2 linked regions of the Oreochromis niloticus genome follow. The protein of the gene in region 1 interacts with the protein of each later gene in a pairwise test. Links are inferred from orthologs where the notes say so. Each region holds a gene or a part of one and is shown in the gene's direction. Other genes may lie near its edges.

Evidence for each region.
Region 2: the proteins of trim55b (region 1) and usp13 interact in a two-hybrid assay, tested with the Homo sapiens proteins (2 studies listed by BioGRID and IntAct). The link is inferred for Oreochromis niloticus from reciprocal best matches to the Homo sapiens genes TRIM55 and USP13.

What each region holds. Positions count from the first base shown.
Region 1 is NC_031974.2:19,331,956-19,341,252, forward strand, and holds the start of trim55b (tripartite motif-containing protein 55b), read left to right. Parts: upstream 1-5,559; 5' UTR 5,560-6,080; coding exon 6,081-6,200; intron 6,201-6,487; coding exon 6,488-6,657; intron 6,658-8,012; coding exon 8,013-8,190; intron 8,191-8,340; coding exon 8,341-8,436; intron 8,437-9,087; coding exon 9,088-9,297. UniProt on the Homo sapiens protein: E3 ubiquitin ligase that plays an important role in regulating cardiac development and contractility, muscle growth, metabolism, and fiber-type differentiation.
Region 2 is NC_031986.2:45,478,747-45,488,528, reverse strand, and holds the start of usp13 (ubiquitin carboxyl-terminal hydrolase 13), read left to right. Parts: upstream 1-5,913; 5' UTR 5,914-6,212; coding exon 6,213-6,323; intron 6,324-6,371; exon of another isoform or gene 6,372-6,708; intron 6,709-8,068; coding exon 8,069-8,194; intron 8,195-9,782. Other genes in the region: ndufb5 (NADH dehydrogenase [ubiquinone] 1 beta subcomplex subunit 5, mitochondrial), read left to right, coding at 3,795-3,901, 4,702-4,822. UniProt on the Homo sapiens protein: Deubiquitinase that mediates deubiquitination of target proteins such as BECN1, MITF, SKP2 and USP10 and is involved in various processes such as autophagy, endoplasmic reticulum-associated degradation (ERAD), cell cycle progression or DNA damage response.

The sequences.
Region 1 (9,297 bases):
AATATTCACAATAATCCCACTATACTGTGTTCATGCTTTACCCTTAGTCTAAAACAGATACCTCCTGATATTTGAACAATCGGCTACCAGCTGTTAAAATCACCCTGCTTCACTATCCTATGAAACAAAGCTTTAAAGGACTGCACTGTTCATGGTTTACAGGCTGTGAGGTTTAAACCAGGCTGAGACAAGCACTTGAATGCTGAGTGCATCTCAGTTTCCCATGACCATGCGGTGCAGCCGTGCTTGTTAAAACAGGCTGACGTCTCTTTTACGTCACCGCATGGCAGAGGATGTTACATAAAGTTAGGAGTGAAAATCAGGCTGATTGATTTCATCTTTCTTCTAATCAAGTGGCTTTATCAAATAGGATGTTAGACATTTATATGTGAGTGAGAGTTATCGCATCTCGTTCATCTGTTTATCCATCTGTACTCATACAAAGACTGAGTTATCCCAGAAAGAGTGTGGCACATTTTTACTCTAACTCCATTTTTATTTTCATTTAGTTCAGTTCAGTTTTATTTATATAGTGCCAAATCACAACAGCAGTCGGTTCAAGAAGCTTTGCATTGTAATGTAGCGACCCTAAAATAACAGAGTTAAAACCCCAACAATCAAACACTCCCTTTGAGCAAACACTTGGCGATAGTGGAAAGAAAAACCTCCCTTTTAACAGGAAGAAACCTCCAGCAGTACCAGGCTCAGGGAGTCGCAGCTATCTGCCGCGACCAGTTGGGTGTGAGCAGAAGAAGACGGGACAAAAGACACACTGTGGAAGAGAGCCAGAGAGTAATAATAAGTAGTTAAATGAGGAGTGGTGTGTGTGTGAAGAAGAAACACTAAGCATAACTAAGGGAGGATTCAGGATCACCCGGTCCAGCTCCATCAATCTATGGATGACAAGATTGGGATGTTTCCGCTCTAAAACATTGTAGGTTGACATGTTTTGTTACACAACTGAGCCAAGTTGTGCAATTTTGAGCCATATTATACAACAGCATGAGAGGTGCATTTTAAATGAGATCTTAATACAGATGTTAGTGGCCTGTATAGTGGACGGACTCTAATATTTAAAGCCAAAGATAATGTGGCTACTGGAAAAGTGCTGATTGAGCCTTTTTTCAGAGTCACTCTTTGAGTTTTGGGGGTTGTTTTGAGTATTTTTAAGTAGCTTAGCATGGCTGGAAAGTGACTCAGTGAGTTTGTGACTCAGTGAGTTTGATCACAAACGACGTGATCTCAACATGATGAGATCACGTCTGAGTTGATTCAAGCCTGACCTTTACTTATATTGTCATGGATCCCAGCCTGTAATTTCTTTCATTAATCCCACTAACAAACAGAAAATATAAAGAAATATTAAATATTTTCATAGCTTAAATGATCAGTATTCTTGATGACTGCTTCTAAAACACATTCTGCCCTAAAACACTGCTACTTATTTAAATAAAAGCATGTCAGTGATGAAGGTAGGGTCAAAAATAACTTCTAATTATATACACAGCAATGGAGTACTAGAAAACGTATCTATTTATTACGATTAAAACAAGTAAGATGTATCTACAAAGTGTGACACTATTTCATTATGCCCAATTAGATTTTCATGATATTGTTCATTTAAAACAAACAGGATAAGGTACTGTACTGTTCTTGATCTGCTAAAGGTCTGCAGACCAGAAGCTACTAAAGTCCGACAGGTACAGATGAACCTGGAAGCATTTTAGAGGATAATCTGAAATGCATTCTTTTAAAAAAAAATACCAAAAAGTAGAGGCACACCTTCTAACTGCTAAGCTTAAAGGTCACTGCATGTTTAAGGTTCCTGCTCATTTATTCATATGATAGGGGATTGCTTACTTTTACAATGAAGTACCTCTTATATTATCCAAACTCTTGGCTGTAACAGTACACAGGACCGCATGTAGTTTTCTTTTATAACTTATCATCACTGTGCATTTGGAGACGCCAGAGAAAAGATCTATTAGCTGGGATAACTAAGAGGACTCACTAAAAATCTAATCAGGGTCACCACCGAGCACTGGATCTTCTGTTTCTTGGAGATAATAAATGTGAATGCTGCAGCTAAATCAACTATAAATATTTGGTGTACAACTGCTGTATCTCTGTGTATGTAACTCCAGACAAAACCCCAGTATGACCTCAGCAGTACTGTTCATAGCATCACAGTATCGTAAACAGGCCTGCGTTATCATTTCGTTCTTTTGCAACATTAACACAGTGACGGCAAATCCTCTAAACTGCCCAGAGTATCACTAGTTCAGACCCGAACTATCCAGAAGTTGCATAAATGGATAAAGATCTGACCTTGCTTTTTTTTAACTACATCCTTGGCATTTAAAAATAATGTGAAGCCTAGCTGATAGTGTCTGTGTAAATTTAAGGTGGAATACCTTTTAAGTCTTGCTAAATACTGTTCTACATTAATATTTCTTCATCCCAAGCGAATCCACGGTGAATTACTGCTACCTTTAAAATTACTATTCATTCTAGGGTATGATCATACTTTTTCTGACCCAAAGACTCTCAGCTCAGTGGATCATTTAGGACAGATATGGAGATGAAGAAATGGACATTATCTGGAATTGCTCGCAGAGAGTTTTTAAATCACAGCCACTGACTGCTTGCCATCTGCGTGAATACAATATGACTTCCACCTAACTGAAATATTCATACAAGTGAACAGATGGCACCCTTTGCTCTGCTCCCTTTTCTGGTCCCCTATACACTTTCATCTTGCTTATGAGTTTGTAGACATCTTATGTGTGCGGTTATGTGCGAGCGCAGGTGTATTTCATGGCCTTGGCAGTGCATGCAGACCTTTTTTACGATTCACGCAAAGCACCGCTTACCAACGCCGAGCGAAAGAGGGGAACAGGAGTTTCACACTGTGCTCTTTAAATTGGCAGCTTTTAGCCTCAAAGGCAGCACTGTCTGGCATTCATGTTGGCCTTTCATCTCCAAGTAATCTCCACACTGCTCTTAATTTGTCAATCTTTGTTGGATTTTTACTAACAGGCGCTGCAATATTATGAGTCAGATAGTAATGGATGAAAAATTATGAATTCACTTCAATCACAAAGACATAACCCAGAACATCTCCTTAATTGATCTCATTTGAATTCACTTTTATCTAAATGGTGAGCATCTGAGCAGCCTCTGCTTGTCGCTAATGAATATGTAATCATGCTAGTTCAGCCTTTTTAGAGATTACTGATTAAAACTGAATAAAGTGGTGTGCCCACAGCATCACAAAATGACTAAAAACTTCATTTGTAGTACATCACAGAGAAAAAACACATCAACAGAAAGGAGAACTGGGTGAGACACACATAAAAAGCTAAATGACAAAATTAGTAAGAGCGCTGTTTTACATTTACATAGACTTGCAAATCACAAGAGATGGGAACTTTACTATTTGAATGTGTATATTTCTCATCCTTTTTTCCCCATTTTATTTATTTATTTATTTTTTACCTTTTTCTCATTTCTTAAAGTTGATTCCTAACTTGCAAACCCCGGAGGGGGACACTAAATGAAACAAAGAGACAAATTAGAGAGTGTGAGAGAGACATTCATTCATTTTCAGTAATGACATCTGTCTAAAATGTTTAAATATGACTCACTGATTCTGCATGAAAAGCACTGTGTGCACATCCATGTGGCTTTATATAAAAGGAAAAGAGGTGCGAGGAAGGCAGATGTCATATTGTATGAGTCAGATGAAAAGAAAAAAGAAAAAGATGAGGTATGCTTAAATGGGTCAGAAGCTTCCACTATGAGGATCCTGCTACGTTCGCTTTGACATTGAGTTTCTAATTAAAGAGTATGTAAATTTTTTTGTATAGGTCAAATGTTTTGAAAAAGTGCATCTTTAATTGCTTCGTTTGCATGGGACATTTAGACGTGACAAATATTTGGAAATAAAGTGAGGAACTCATACAGATTCATGAAGATGAGCACTCCATTAGCAGAGGACAGGGGTTTTAATTTGTAATTGAAATACCGCTAATGAGAATCAGTGGACGGAGGAATAACAATCGTGCAACAGCACAGAAATAAACAAAGGCGCTTTATTAGTGTGTGACGCTTGCCACAGTCCTCCACACAACTGTTAATTACGGTCTCTGAGTCATCCATCTGAATGTGTTCGCAGCACCTTTATAAGTCATTTCACAGTCAAACAAAGTGATAAAGTTTGTTTTCATCACGAGTGGAGAGATAATCAAACACTAAACAATCACTTTTAAATTCCCTTTTTGAACAGTGCTTGCAGGTGTGATCATTTTTTATTTAACATGCACAGCAGATTTGCAGGATATGCTGTGTATTTATGCTGACTAGACCATCACTGCAGGCAGTGCAGTGCCAAACATTTTCAAGCTCACTTCTATTTTTTATACACCCCAAAACTCTACTTGATTTTGTGGGAAAGTTTAAGAAAATCATCATCTGTTTTTATGGATTTGCATTTATTTGTAGAAAAATACATTAACTGCCAATACTAGCCATTTTGTTTCAACATCTGAAATATGTATTTTCATTAAAAGAAATGATTAGAGAAGCTTCATAGAACAGCAATTCTTAGCAAATTTGTAAAAGCGCTCAAAATTGAATTTAGGGGAGGGAAAAAAAAAAAAATTTCTCTCCTTCGAGCCGGATTCGAACCAGCGACCTAAGGATGCCTGGGAAGCCACTACAGTCCTCCGCTCTACCAACTGAGCTATCGAAGGGAGCTGACGACTACCTCCACCCCCTGTGTATTTATGAGATCGGCAGATATGGCGGACGCCCTCTTCGGTTAACATGTTTTCTGGAAATTCGCATTCGCCACTGTTTTCCACTTGAGCTAAATAGTTGTGTGTGAGAGTTTCCCCACATATTTGAAGTAACTTGGTTGCCCTCAAAGGAACTTTAACATTGCGAGCCTTTCAATAACTTAGCAGCTATTAAACCCTGTTATTATTCACATTTGTTAGAGCTAACCTAGACAGCTTAATAATGCTACCTTACCGCACTGTATTTCGGCATGATATGTGAAATATATCAAACACTACACCGTCACATTGAACCAATTACGTATCTCACGAACAATAAATACACACACAACGAACAACTTCCGTACCGGGGAATTAGCTCAAATGGTAGAGCGCTCGCTTAGCATGCGAGAGGTAGCGGGATCGATGCCCGCATTCTCCAATAACATTTTCATTTTTCCTTCAATGTAAGGCCTCGAACACGCTAACAAACACCAAAATATTTTAGCTGAATTGTTCTTTTTAAAATAGTAGCAGTTATCACCTACTTTTAAGGATGCGGTGAATACACCTAATGTTACGGTTGTCGTCCTTATGCTGTTCTCTAAGTGCAAATACCCATGTGCAAAAAATGCTTTACACATGCCATAGTTTGTTTAATGCTAGGTAAAATCACGATCACTCCTTTAACTAGGAGCTTAGCCAGCGAACCTAGGATTGTAACAAACCTCTCCTGTGCGTGGTTATCTTCCCTCTTACGTAATGGTCTCCTCCCAACTTTGACTGGAAGTCACTTTTGATAGCTTCCGGCTGCTGTCTATTGTCTAAGTTAACATTAATGCAAAGCTGGCACTTGATCGGCAACATGGTAAAAAGGTACTGAGTACTAGGTGTTTTCAGTAGAGACTGTCAGATGCTATCAATAATTTTAGATATAAAAGTCACAATCAAAGTTAGCCTATGATTGCATCACTTGCCAAATGACTTGCCCCTATCCTCTCAAACACATAGCCACATGGCACCCCGTGTAGAAGAGGCTGGGGATGGGCTGCTTTTCAGCACTGCCCTACTTAGTTTCATATATGGACAAGGCAAAAATGGCAACCTTAGACGTGACAGCAGTAGCTGCTAAAAACAGAACTGACACAGAGGAGATAGGAGTCTACACCCGCTAGGACAAACATAACAGGCCTACTACTCAGCCTGAAGCTGGGCCTATGATAGATTGCTTTTAGAAAGGACTTCATACTAAACTTTTCAGACTTTTTAAGTTGTTTAGTTGCGTGTGAAATCGTTGACACCATGGACAACTTGGAGAAACAGCTGATTTGTCCAATATGCTTGGAAATGTTTACAAAGCCTGTGGTCATCCTACCCTGCCAGCACAACCTGTGCAGAAAATGTGCCAATGATGTTTTCCAGGTAAGCTATTGAATGGCTCAAATTGGTACTTATTTATAAAGTTGGTCTGAATTTTCACATATCAAAGACCCAAATAGTGACATATAAATTTAACACCTATAGGCTCTGTTTACAAACATGTGGATTGAATGTTAATGATGGTGGTTTGAAGTTTGTGTTATGGACTGTTAATCCCCTGGATTAATATTTCATAACTGCTGAGTTAAACAATGTAATTAATTTTACTTCTGCTATCCATCAAAACCCAGTCATGCAAAATTCAGAGCTTCCCTTGTTGTCGTTTACAGGCTTCAAACCCATACCTTCCAACAAGAAGCGGCTCGTTGACCTCTGGTGGACGTTTCCGATGCCCGTCCTGCAGACACGAGGTGATTCTGGACAGGCATGGTGTTTACGGCCTGCAGAGGAACCTGTTGGTTGAGAATATCATTGACATGTTCAAACAAGAATCCAGCAGGTGAGACAGATCAGACATTTGTCAAAATAACAGAAAATGAAAAGAATTCTTCATGTCTGACAGGAGGATGTTTTTATTAGTGAAACTCGCCTTGTAGGGCAGTAAAGTATAGTAGCAGGAAGTGAAACACTAACTCTGGCTTCTGAGTCAGAGATCTGCAGTGGGTGAGAGGACGTTTGTACTTGCAGTAGTCATCCACACAGATTTTTTATCCAGCAGATGACTGAAAGGCTTGTATGACATGATATCCACAACACTTTTTGCTGTTGTGACATTATTTCATTACCATTATCCTAAGTAGAGTTTATAGGATGACAGCCTCTCATCCGAGATGCTTCTTCAGTTCTGAGACCAAAACGTAGAGAGTGCCAGGTATTTAAACCTTAATGGATTTCCCCTTAAGAGGTGATCGTTGCCCGACTAGTAGTCCTGTCCATCATCACAAGAGCCAAACTGGGAAGAAAGGAGTGGGTCATTACCACCTGAGGCTTCAGATGAAATCACTGCGAGATCTTGCGTGAGACCACATTATGTGACCCGTTGAGTTCACCTGGCGCAACGTGTGAGTGGGTGTTGAGCCGCCTGGGAAACGGATCTTGAGACTGCATTGTAGGTGGTTGACAGTTGGTGTTGTTAATGATCCGTCATCGTCTTTTAAACTGTCTCCTCGGTCTAAAATGCAAACATTCACATCCTGCAAAGATTGACATTTATCCTTTCTTAATGACTTAAAAACAAGCAAATGTAAGGTTTTGGAACGACCTACTCAAAGTCAGGACCTTAAACAGGTTGTTCGTGCTCAAAAGCCCCTTTAAATGTGTTTTAATTAAAGCAATTCTGCAAAGAAGAGCAGGCCAAAATTCCTCCACGGTGATGTGAAAGACTCATTGCCAGATATCGCCAAAAGCTTTATTGCAGTTCTTCCTGCCAAGGGTTGCACAACTAGTCATTAGGTTTAGGGGACAATTACTTTTTCACACAGGGCAGGTGCATTTGGATAGCTTTTTCACTGAAATGAAATCATTATTTAAAAACTTCATTTTTTATTATCTTTGTCTGATGGTGTGACAAATATGTATAAACTTAAGAAATAAGGAAAGGGAGAAAACTTTTAAGGTATAAAAACATGAATCATGTATGCTTGCTCCCACACTACTCAGCAATGATGATGACCTATTGATTACAGTGCTGGCAGTGCATGTGAATGGCAGGGCACACCTGATGGGTCATCGATAAGCTGTTTAGATGCCGAGATGTGTAACAGTGACATTATCAAACTGACACTGCATGTCACATCAGTATGCAAATGTGCAGCATCACGGGATACTACCGCTATTTCCATCGCACCTCAACAGCAGCAAACCAGCACCAGAGAAAAAGGAAGAAACGCCCATGTGTGATATTCACGAGGACGAAAAGATCAACATTTACTGCGTGACCCACGGTGTGCCCACGTGCTCCATGTGCAAGGTCTTTGGAGCCCACAAAGACTGCGAGGTGGCTCCTCTCAGCAGCATCTACCAGACGAAGAAGGTGAGGCCTGAGATGCTTACAAAGGCTACGGATACTGTCAGCCATGGTGATGTGTTTTTTACAGTTTCATCATGAAGTATATCATAGTGTAACCATAGATTTGCCCCAGATTTGAGTCTGTAGTCATGCTGCCATGTCCTTGCCCCCTAGACGGAGCTGAGTGACGGGATTGCCATGGTGGTTGGTAACAACGACAGGATGCAGGGCATCATTAGTCAGCTAGAGGAAGCCTGTCGTGCCATAGAGGTCAGTGTCCGACTGCTGCAGTGCCTGGCCGCTCACTCACGCAGCAAGCCTCACTCCGTGCACACACTAATGTACCTGCACAGACGACCAAACTGATGTAATGTGTCCTTGTCACGGCCACTCTTTCTGCTTTTATCCATCTGTGAGATTTAGACAGAGAGGCAGTAAGAGGAAAATAAATGTTTTGGTTCCACAGACTGCTTTAATCTCCCATTTTCATATTTTCTCCTACGCTGGGTCCACATACACTAGTTAGAGCACCCTATTCTGCCTTCGACCCACTTCCACGGACAATAAAACGAGCAGTGTAATTGATGGGGCGAGAACAGGCAGCTTTCTTATGGTTCACGTGCCACAGTTGGACGTAGTAGAGAGGAAGCTGGAGTGACTCCAGTCCCCTGTGTGTCACTGCTATAGCGTCATGCACATGGCACCAAATGAACGGAAGGCATTTTGCAGTATTTAGACATCCGAAGAATGAAAACAACAACTAGTTACCGCATTTTCTCTCATTTTGAAATTCTAATGTACTTCGAAACTGAATTGCCTACATTTCCCACCCAGAACTCATTAATAAAGAATGGACCTGCAGAATTTACAACCTTTCCCTGTGTGTGTGCGTGTTTTCTTCGCTTGTTCTCGCACGTACAGGAGAACAGTCGGAGACAGAAGACTCTGGTGTGTGAAAAGTTTGACCACCTATACTCTATCCTGGAGGAGAAAAAGAGGGAGCTGAATCAGAAGGTGACAGACGAACAGGAAGAGAAGGTGAACTATATCCGGGGCCTGACAAGTAAATATGGAGACCATCTGGAGGAGAGCTGTAAAATCTTGGAGATGGGGATCCAGGCTATGGACGAG
Region 2 (9,782 bases), on another chromosome or scaffold:
GAACGAGACAGAGACTTTACGTGTGAGGCAAGGCCCAAAGAAGAGTCAAATATTACTCCCAAGATTTCGAATATTTGGCTTAGCAGAAGAACAGAAAGGGGCAAGAACCTGACTGATTTTAGAATATAGATCAGGAGGAGCTATGATCATGGTCTCTGTCTTGTTCATGTTTAAAACAAGGTAATTGTTAGAAAGCCAATCAGAGATTTGAGTTAAACACTGGATTAGGGTGGACAGCCTATCCAGCTGATGAGGCTTAAAGGACTTATATAGCTGAATGTCATTGGCATAGAAATGATAAGACAGGTCACTAAAAGACTGAATAATGCCAGCTAAAGGAAGCATATAAAAAGAAAATAATAATGGACCCAAAACTGAACCCTGTGGAACCCCGCAGGTTAGTGCAGCAGTGTTAGAGGAGAACCTATCAGTCCTAACAGAAAAGGTCCTGTCTAATAAGTAGGAAGAAAACCAGTCTAAGGCGGTGCCAGATATACCAGCCAGAACCTTCAGCCTGTTGAGTAGGATTTTGTGGTCGATGGTATCGAAGGCTGCGCTAAGATCTAGCAAAATGATCACGGAACAATTTCCTGCATCAGGTGCCATTAGTAGATCATTATGGACCCTTAAGAGAGCGGTCTCCGTAGAGTGCTGCTTTTGAAAGCCAGACTGAAAAGGGTCAAAAATCTGCAATCGGCATAGTAGGACCTGAACTGGTTTTCTACAATTTTTTCTAGTAATTTACTTATAAATGGCAATCTTGAAATAGGACGATAACTACTAGGGGAGGTAAGATCTAGATTCTGTTTTTTTACCAGAGGGGTTACCTCAGCATGTTTAAAATAGGACGGAGCACAGCCTTGCCTCAGTGAATTGTTGATGATGTATAGAAGTGTGGGACCAATGCTGGTGAGAGTCCCAGACAGGACAGAGGGAGGTAATATATCTAAGGAGCATGATGAGGATTTCATTTTACCTATTACTGCAATTAAGTCTTTGAGTGTGATTGGAGAAAATGAAGTAAATGACCCGGGACAACAAGGGGCATCTTCATAAGGGGAGGCACTTGAGGAGATTTTGGATCTCAAGTCCATCACCTTATTTACAAAGTAATTGAGGAAAGTGCTGAAGTCTTCATCAGAAAGTAACACAGCATTGCTGAGTTGGAGGAGAAACAATACTGTTGATGGTATCAAATAGAATTCTTGGGTTATTTTTATGACGATTTATGAGATTATTGAAGTAAGAGGATCTGGCCTCTTTGACTGACTCATTATATAAGTGAAGAAGTTCTTTGAAGCGTTCCCGATGGGCAACCAGCCCAGTGGACTTCCAGAGACGCTCTGCTTTTCAACAGGAGCGTCGAAGACCACGGGTTTGATTATTTAACCATGGTGTCCAGCAACTAACAGTGCAATGACTAGTTTTCAAAGGAGCAACCTGATTAAGAATGGCAAGATAGTGTTCATTAAAAGAATTAATAAGGATGTCAACATCATCAGAAGGAGGTTTAAAATTAAAAAGAGAAGAAAACTTTAAATTGACAGAGTCATCAATAAAGCGCCTGCGCCTAATAAAACTTTGGGGAAGAGACTCTGAGTTGATAGATACATTAAAAAAGACTGACTTATGGTCGCTAAAAGCAACTTCATTTAAGTTCATGTGGTCAAGGGAAACACCACAGGTGAAGACCAAGTCCAGAGTATGCCCAGCTGTGTGAGTAGGACCTGATACATGCTGAACAAAATTGAAAGAGTCCATAATGCTCAGGAACTCCTTAGTGGTACTGTTTGATGAGTCCTCTGCATGAATGTTGAAGTCACCAACAATGATGACCTTGCCCAGTTTAATAGTGGAAGTTAAAAATTCTTGTAGGTCTGACAGAAAAGACGCAGCAGACCCAGGTGGACGATAAATTAAAATGCCGTATATGGGCTGTTCTCGTCCAATTTTTATCATAATCATCTCAAAAGAGTTGTAACAGCTCGAGGAGATCATCTGGCATAAAAAATGTCTTTTTAAAAATTACCGCTGTTCCACCTCCTCATCCAGATATCCGAGGTGCACAGAGAAAAGAACAGTCAGCGGGACAAAGCTCTAAAAGATGTGAGACTTCATTCTCACGCTGCCACGTCTCAGAGATAAACATAAAATCAAGCTTCTTCGTACAGAACAAGTCATTTAAGATATAAGACTTGTTGGCAATTGAGCGGGCATTAATTAACATCCATTTAACGCTGCGACCCACCGGGACAGGGGTAGAGTTTCCAGGAACAGAGTTCGTACTATGCGGTAAGCTGTGCAGCAACACAGGGTTCCTGCCGCGATGAGGCACTGCTTTCCATGCTTTCAGGTGGAAGCCTGGGTGGTAAACACAGTGGGTTGTGGGGATTAATCCAGCTCCGACAAGTCTCAGGCGGATCTTACCGCTAGCAGCCCAGGAATAAAGCCCCCGAAGATCTGCCTCTTTCCGAAGACGACAGAGCAGGACAAGAAAGCCGGCTCTCTTCCCCCACTTCCTCCGACGAGGCCTCTGAAGCAAAATAGAGCTGACCGGCAAGAGTGAAGGTAAACCGGATGCTGCGTGGCGCTCAAGCGGCGGTGGGAAAACAACGTCGTTTCGTTGACTCTGAAAGTTATCCATAGCAGATTTGATCGCCAGTAACGCATGCCGATCATAAATCTGAAGGGAGATAACACCGGACAAAACTGTAGCAAGAACACTTGCATAACATATAAAGTAAACATATAAACATATAAAGTTTAAAATGGACTGGAGCCAAGTGTGGAAACAGTCCTGTGGTCAGACAAATCAAAGTGTAATATTCTTTTTGGAAAACATGAACACAACATCCTTCAGACTAAAGAGGAGAGGGAACATCCGGCTTGTTATCAGTGCTCAGTTCAAAATCCTGCATCTCTGAGGGTGTGGTAGTGCGGTAGTGCAGCCTGCACAGTTCCATAGACACATAGGTGTTCACAGTGGCAAACATGGCCCAGTGTCCTATCACTGAGAGTATAATCTCTGGACTTGGAGCAAGCAGTCTGTACGTGGCACGTATCAGTCTGCGTCCACACACCAACGACTGCCTCGCACTTTCCAAATTTTGGTTCTTTGTCCTTTTCCCCAAAATGAAGTTAGAGTTGAAGTATTACTGCAGTGACACACTGGAGGTGATCCATCATGCGCTGCAGATGCACAAGTGCAACGGAACAGACCGGGACTTCCAGGAAAGGAGCTAAAAATAGCAGCCATGCTAGTCTCCTGTCTAAGGAGACTTCTGATAAGGAGAAATCAACTGATTTTAAACTGGGTATGATTTTTATGCAAAGTCTTCAAAGGACTCCGAGGCACTCTATTTTTAAAATGCCTTTATTCCTAAAAAAAACTCCAGTGTGTTTTAGCGCACAAGCTTTGATCAGGCAGTGAACAAAGTCCATTTAAGCACTCGATCTTCCCTAGTGGTTTTCCACAAGTGGCACGCTTCCACCTTGGGTGAGAGTGGAGTATTCCACAAGCGAGGCTCCACCAATAGGAGGAGTCAAGAAGCCTGGTCAGATGTCAACACCAAACCCAAAACATTCACCAAATTTGAACCAGACGACATAAACGCACAGCAGCACCAGCCACAAGGATTAAAACAGGATAAAAAAAATGTCCCCTCAAGAAAGTCTACTTGACCAGAGCTCCTCTGTAAACACAATAACACTGAACTGCAACAAATGTATGTCACACGACTGCACTAAAGGGACAGTCCTATGTTGCATCAAATCCTTGTGCTCTGTTGTTTCAGCACCCCATCACCAGGTGGATCACACGGAACATCTATGATTCCCCAGTGAAGGACTACGAAAAGATGATGGCTGCAGTCCAGATTGAAAAGGAAAAAGCAGACATGAGGTGGGTGTTACTGCCAGTGTGCTTCATATGCTTCACCAATAACACAAACACATGCATTTAAAATGCTTTTAGAAGATGTCTCTGCTTGGCTCATATCCACTACACGATACACTGATGCGCTACAGCTGGTGTTTAGCTGTTTATGTAGTGTAACCAAGAGTGTCATGATATTGAGTTCTACAGAGGAAAGTATCCAAGAGATTGGATTGTTTTTAACTGGCTGAGAGGTTTACAAATGTGCTTTACAGCAGACAAAGTTGTGTCGACACTGAAGAAAACTTTGGCTCATCATTACAGAAATAGGAAACAGCAGTTTGCTACCACCGCCATGGAAAAATCACTGCAAACGCTAAAGCGGTAGCTTTTCTCAAGTGTGTCCAGTCATGAAAAGCACCAGAACGTGATGCAGTAGGAGGGAGGGATCCTGAAAGGGCGTGCAGAGCAGCTGCATTCCTTGATAATAGCGTTGTTCCATTGATGTGGAAAACCTCAGCTGTTTTTTGTTTTTTTCCTCTCCCCAAAGAAAACAGGTGCAAGTGAGCCTATGAGGGAACCATCTTTGGATTTTTCAGAACATGCTCTCTGAAAAATATTATATGCAGATTGGTTATTGAAATTGCAGAGATTGGTCAGTCTTGAGGAATCAATTTAAGTGTGTGTGCTGCAGCTGTGACAAATGTAATTCTTTGTTATTTTACAAGTGTCGTACATTATTAGTCTTCCTCACTTAACTGGTTGCTCATTTCTAAAGCATGGTGTTACATTTCTCTGCCTCTTTATTCATTGTTTTGTTGTCACAGACTGACGCAGCTGGAGGTGCGTCGCCAGATGAGGCAGCAAGGAGACGGCCCCTGGTTCCAAGTGCCGACCCTTAACAAAGAGCTAATTGACAACAGCCCCAAGTCATCACCTGACCATTAATCCAGATGTTTCTGTCATCTGTACATCAATCTCACTGTTTGTACATTTTTTCCCATATTGCGTGAATAAAGTATCTATATGAACTCTGATATTCATGTTTTAGCGTCTTAATTCGGTTCATGCAGCAAACACCTTCACCATGATGATATTACAGAGTTACAGATGATCGGGGATTGGCAGCTTGTGTCAAACCCACTGACACCACCTGTCTTCAGCTTGTGTGAATACTTCTGAGCTGAAATCATCCAATAAAGCTCAAGTTGAACAGTAAATCAAATGTGCATAATATATATGTAATTAAATTTTTTTGTAAATGTATTTATTTATTTTTGGCCGGGGCCTTCATTAAGGAGTTTGCATTTTCTCTGTTGTGTGCAGTTAGTGGGGTTAATTAGTGACTCTAAAAATCTCCTGTGGTTGTCTGTCTCTGTAGCAGCCCGGCATCGAGCTGACAACCTGTCCAGGATGTACTCGGTCTGTTGATAAAGAACAAAATATATCCATCTTTAAAATGCTTAGCCAGGGCTGAGAAAGTTTCAGCCAAGTGCAATTAAAAAAAAACCAAAACTGCACCTTACATTTATTTGTACTGTAAATTCTTCCAGATCTCTAAGGAAGGCTGGATTCCTCTTGGTTTATAGTTTATATTTTCTTGCGATAACCACGAGCGTCCACCGGGTGGCAGAGCTCTGCAGACAAGACTAGCCTGGTCACGTGGACAAAGGGCTTCTTTACACACATGCAGCACTATTTAAAAGTGGACTTAAAATCACATATCAAACATATAAATAAAAATTAGTCATCTGAAGTATATTTTTTGTTTATTATTATCTATTATTATTATTATCTATTATTAAATGACATTTACTGCTCTGTCTTTTTTTTAAATAGACCAAACCGACTGCAGATTGATAAGCAGCTACTAAAAATCAAAGTGTCTTCCATAATCACGCACTTCCTGAATCCTGGAAACTGGAAACATGTTGTAGTAAATGTGGGTGGTCTTATGAATCATCCTCAGAGGTGGGAGGGGCCCTTCTCGTAAAACATCCCCGTGAGCAGGAGCAGCACAGCGGCGTCACCACAGCCAACAGTAGCAATGTAATTTCTGCGCAGGTCCAAGATTTCTCTTTTTTTTGTGGTGGGAGGCAGGAAAAAAGAATAGAAAAACAAAAGAACAACATTAGCTTTCAGCGTTGTGCCGCACCGTGCAGCAGCCTGCCTGCCTGCCTCCACCCCTCTGTCATTTTATTTTTATGTTTTTCAACGTCACATCCCCCTGGTCGCAGGAATGTAGAGACGAAGTGCTTTAAAAATAGCATCCTCTCCTGTGACAGGCGCTGCCCCGGAGGCTCCGCAGCACTGTGGTGCGAGAAGCAGGAATGCGAAGATGGCTGCAGACCTAGGAGAGCTGCTGGTCCCATACATGCCCACCATCAGGGTCCCCAGAACAGGAGACAGGGTTTTCAAGAGCGAGTGCGCCTTTTCTTTCGACTCTCCCGTAAGTGTGCCTGTCGCCCCCCCTCCTCACACACACACTCACTCAGTGAGACACGAGCGGCTTGTTTGGGGAGAGAAAGTGCGTCGTAGGCGAGCTGACAGCTTGTTTTGCACGAGCTCAGCGGCGCACGTGAATCTGCTGTAAATGCGCGTGTCTCCATGGTCACCGTCTCCGCGAGCTTGGGAGGTTAAAAAACAATTAAAGGGTGTTTACGTCTCAGGCGAAAGGGATGAAAGGAGTTTCCTTTGTGTCCACTTCACACCACCCCACTACTACTGTAGGTCCTAACGCAGGCCAGTTAGACCAATAAACGGAGCCACACACCTACACCTGCCTGAAGCTGGGCTCAAATCCTCCACCAGCAGCAGCACAGCCGTGTTCAGGAGTGAGTTTACTGCTCCACTCTTGGGTTTTTATAGTCTATAATTTGTCTGAAAATGACCTAAAGTGCGCCAGTGGTGCTTGCTGGAACTGTGTCCACGGGGATGCTTCTGTTCTCAAACAGCCAGGATTTGTAGACGTTTCAAGACCTTAATGGTGTTGTTTTGGTTTTTAGTAGCCATTATGGCGTCACATGGTGTCTCCGCGACACTGTGACTATAACGAGTCAAAAAGTGAAATATTTGATGCTTCTGCTATTGCTCTCAGCTTTTTCTGTATATATTTTAAAATGCTTATTCTGCTTTATTTTTGTCATTTTACTTTTCTTCTGTGAATAGGACAGCAGTGCCATCATGAACACGGCGGCTGTTTTACTTTACTTGAACCTTTAAGGGGTTTTATGCGCTGATGATGCAGAGTTCAGTCCTTCCTGTACGTGGACTGAACCCTGCATTTTTTATATCTGTCACAGGTACCCTTCCTACCTGTGACAGATATAAAATTTCTTTGCCCCAGTGAAATCTCGCTTTCTCGACTGAAACCGTTTTTAAAGGTGACTCAGCTGTCTGGAGTTCATCATGTTGGCCTGAGGACTGGGTTATTTTTACCCTTGCACTGTTGAGGCTCATATGTCACTCTGGGCCACTTAAAGGTTTATCACGGGGAGGTTTATTAGGCCTGGCCTGGTCGCAGATTTAGGTTAGCGTTGAAGGTATATTTTCCAAGTGTTTTGTGTTCCCATGTGAAGTGAACTGTCAAAGAAAGGAAAAGGTTGATGTTATTGTAGATTTGAAAGCATGTTTAGGTGTCTGTCACCATTCACGTGGACTTTTTTTGATAATAACAAGATGACCAAAGAATCACGTTCTTCTCTAAAAGACATGACACAAGTCAGTCTGAGCTTACGGGCTGTTGCTAAAGGTAAAAATCATTCTCCTAAGAGCTCAGACATGTTGTTAATGAAATGAGTCTGCCTGTAATGGGACGCTTTTCAGTTTCAGAAACAACAGCATAAAATTGTTGTATCATGTTGCTCGTATGAAGCCTAATATGAGAGAATAATCAGTTACTTTCCTTGAATTAAATGACCTGTCAGAGGAGGCATTTGTATTCAAACTAATGCTTGTCAGCAGCACAAATGCTGAAAGGTGGAAAGTTTTTGGTGCAAATAATAATTCTTTGAGCGAGAAAGACTTTGGAAAGTGTCAGAATCACATCTTTGTGTTTGATATTACGGTGATGAGTTTGGCAAATTGGGCAAAATAGAAGATCCTGAAATTGTTCCCACGGTAAGAAATATTTCAAATGTGCTCATAGCGTGCCAGTTGTGCTTTCTCATTGTTACTGTTTGTTTTGCTCCGCAGGAGTCTGAGGGAGGCCTGTATGTGTGTATGAACACATTCCTGGGCTTTGGTCGAGAACATGTGGAGCGACATTATCGCAAAACAGGACAGAGCGTTTACATGCACCTCAAACGGCACGTCAAAGAGGTACGTCTTCCACCTGCTCTGTGTAGTTTATCGGGTGTTGATTGTAAATACAGATTAAAGTAGAATTCAGAGCATAGAAATAATCTTTGTTTCTATAGAGCACGTTTGAATCCGTAACACATAAAGGTAATTCAGTTAATAGATATTTAATAGAATTGAACAGAGTCGAACAGAAAAGCTAAAAAAACAACTCCTGAGTAAAACCAGTGATGTGTGGAATATTTATTCATATATTTAAATGATGATTGTTAACACATAAGACCAAATTAAATCCAGACTTCTTACCCACAAAATTAATCACAACATGTCAAGTTGTAAAAGCATTTTATCCCAGATGTTTAAACTGAGACAATGTGTATGAAAAAATGTTAGTGTCTGGAAACCGAGGAGGCCAGGTGCTTGAGTTTTGGGAGAGGAACGTCGTCCCGTTCCTGTCTGATGCAGCATTCCAGTTGCTCCACAGTCCTGCGTCTGCTCTGTCATATTGTTCATTTCAATAAGTGTTTTCAGTTGGTGAAACTGGACTGCAGGCAGGTAGGCCAGTTCAGGACACAGGTTCTCCTCCCACAGAGGCATGCTGATGCAGTATAATAGATGCAAGTTAGCATCGTCTTGCTGAAATCTGCAAGGCTTTCCCTGAAAGAGACACCATCTGAATGGGAGCATATACCTTTAGTACCGATGGTGCCTTTGCAGATGTCCGAGCTGCCAGGTCCGTAGGCATCAGTGCACTCCTACACCATCGGAGATGCCAGGTTTTAAACTAAGCAGGTGTTCCTTCTCTTCTGGAGTGCACAGGATGTCCATGTGTTACAAAAAGAGTTTAGATTCGTCTGAGCACAGAACAGTTTCCACGTTGTCCATTTTAAATGTGCGTTTGCCCGGAGATGACGGCAGCGTCTCTGACTTTAACCTATGTTTGTGGATGGCGTTGTTTGTTCACAGAAAGTATTCCTGAGCCATGCAGCAATTGTCAGGACACAAGCATGCCTGTTTGTAATGCAGGGCCCAAGATTTCTCCAGGTTCTCTAAATCCTTGGATTATATTATGTATGAGGAACATTGTTGTGAAATGTTTTTCACAATTTGGACCTGCAGTCTTGTGCTGATTGGTGAATCTCTGCTGATCTTTACTTCTGAGAAACTCTGACTCTCTGAGACGCTATTTTCTTTTTACTGACGTGTTAGCAGTTAAGCTTATTGATTTCAAAAATGTTGCTGCAGCTGTTTCCTTTTGAAATGCGTACTGTTCCAGCCTTTTGCGGTTTTTGAGACATGTTGCTGCCATCAAATTGTTTGTGGGTAACACTTAAGGTTTTCAGGCCTGTTTCTCACCTCTAACTTTTCTCACTGAAGGTTTTTGTAGTTTTTGTGTGTTTGGAAAATTCCAAGAGCGGACTTGGTAATTTGCTACTAATTATGTGGAAAATTGAGGAATTTCTTTAATGGACCACTTGTAATAAAGAGATTAAAATCTATTTTTCTTAGTTTGCTGAACACGCCGTTAAAAACCCACATCATGCTGTGATGTTTTTAAGACTGGACCAATGAGAGACGTGCTTCAGTAAAACATGAGTAAAAACAATTT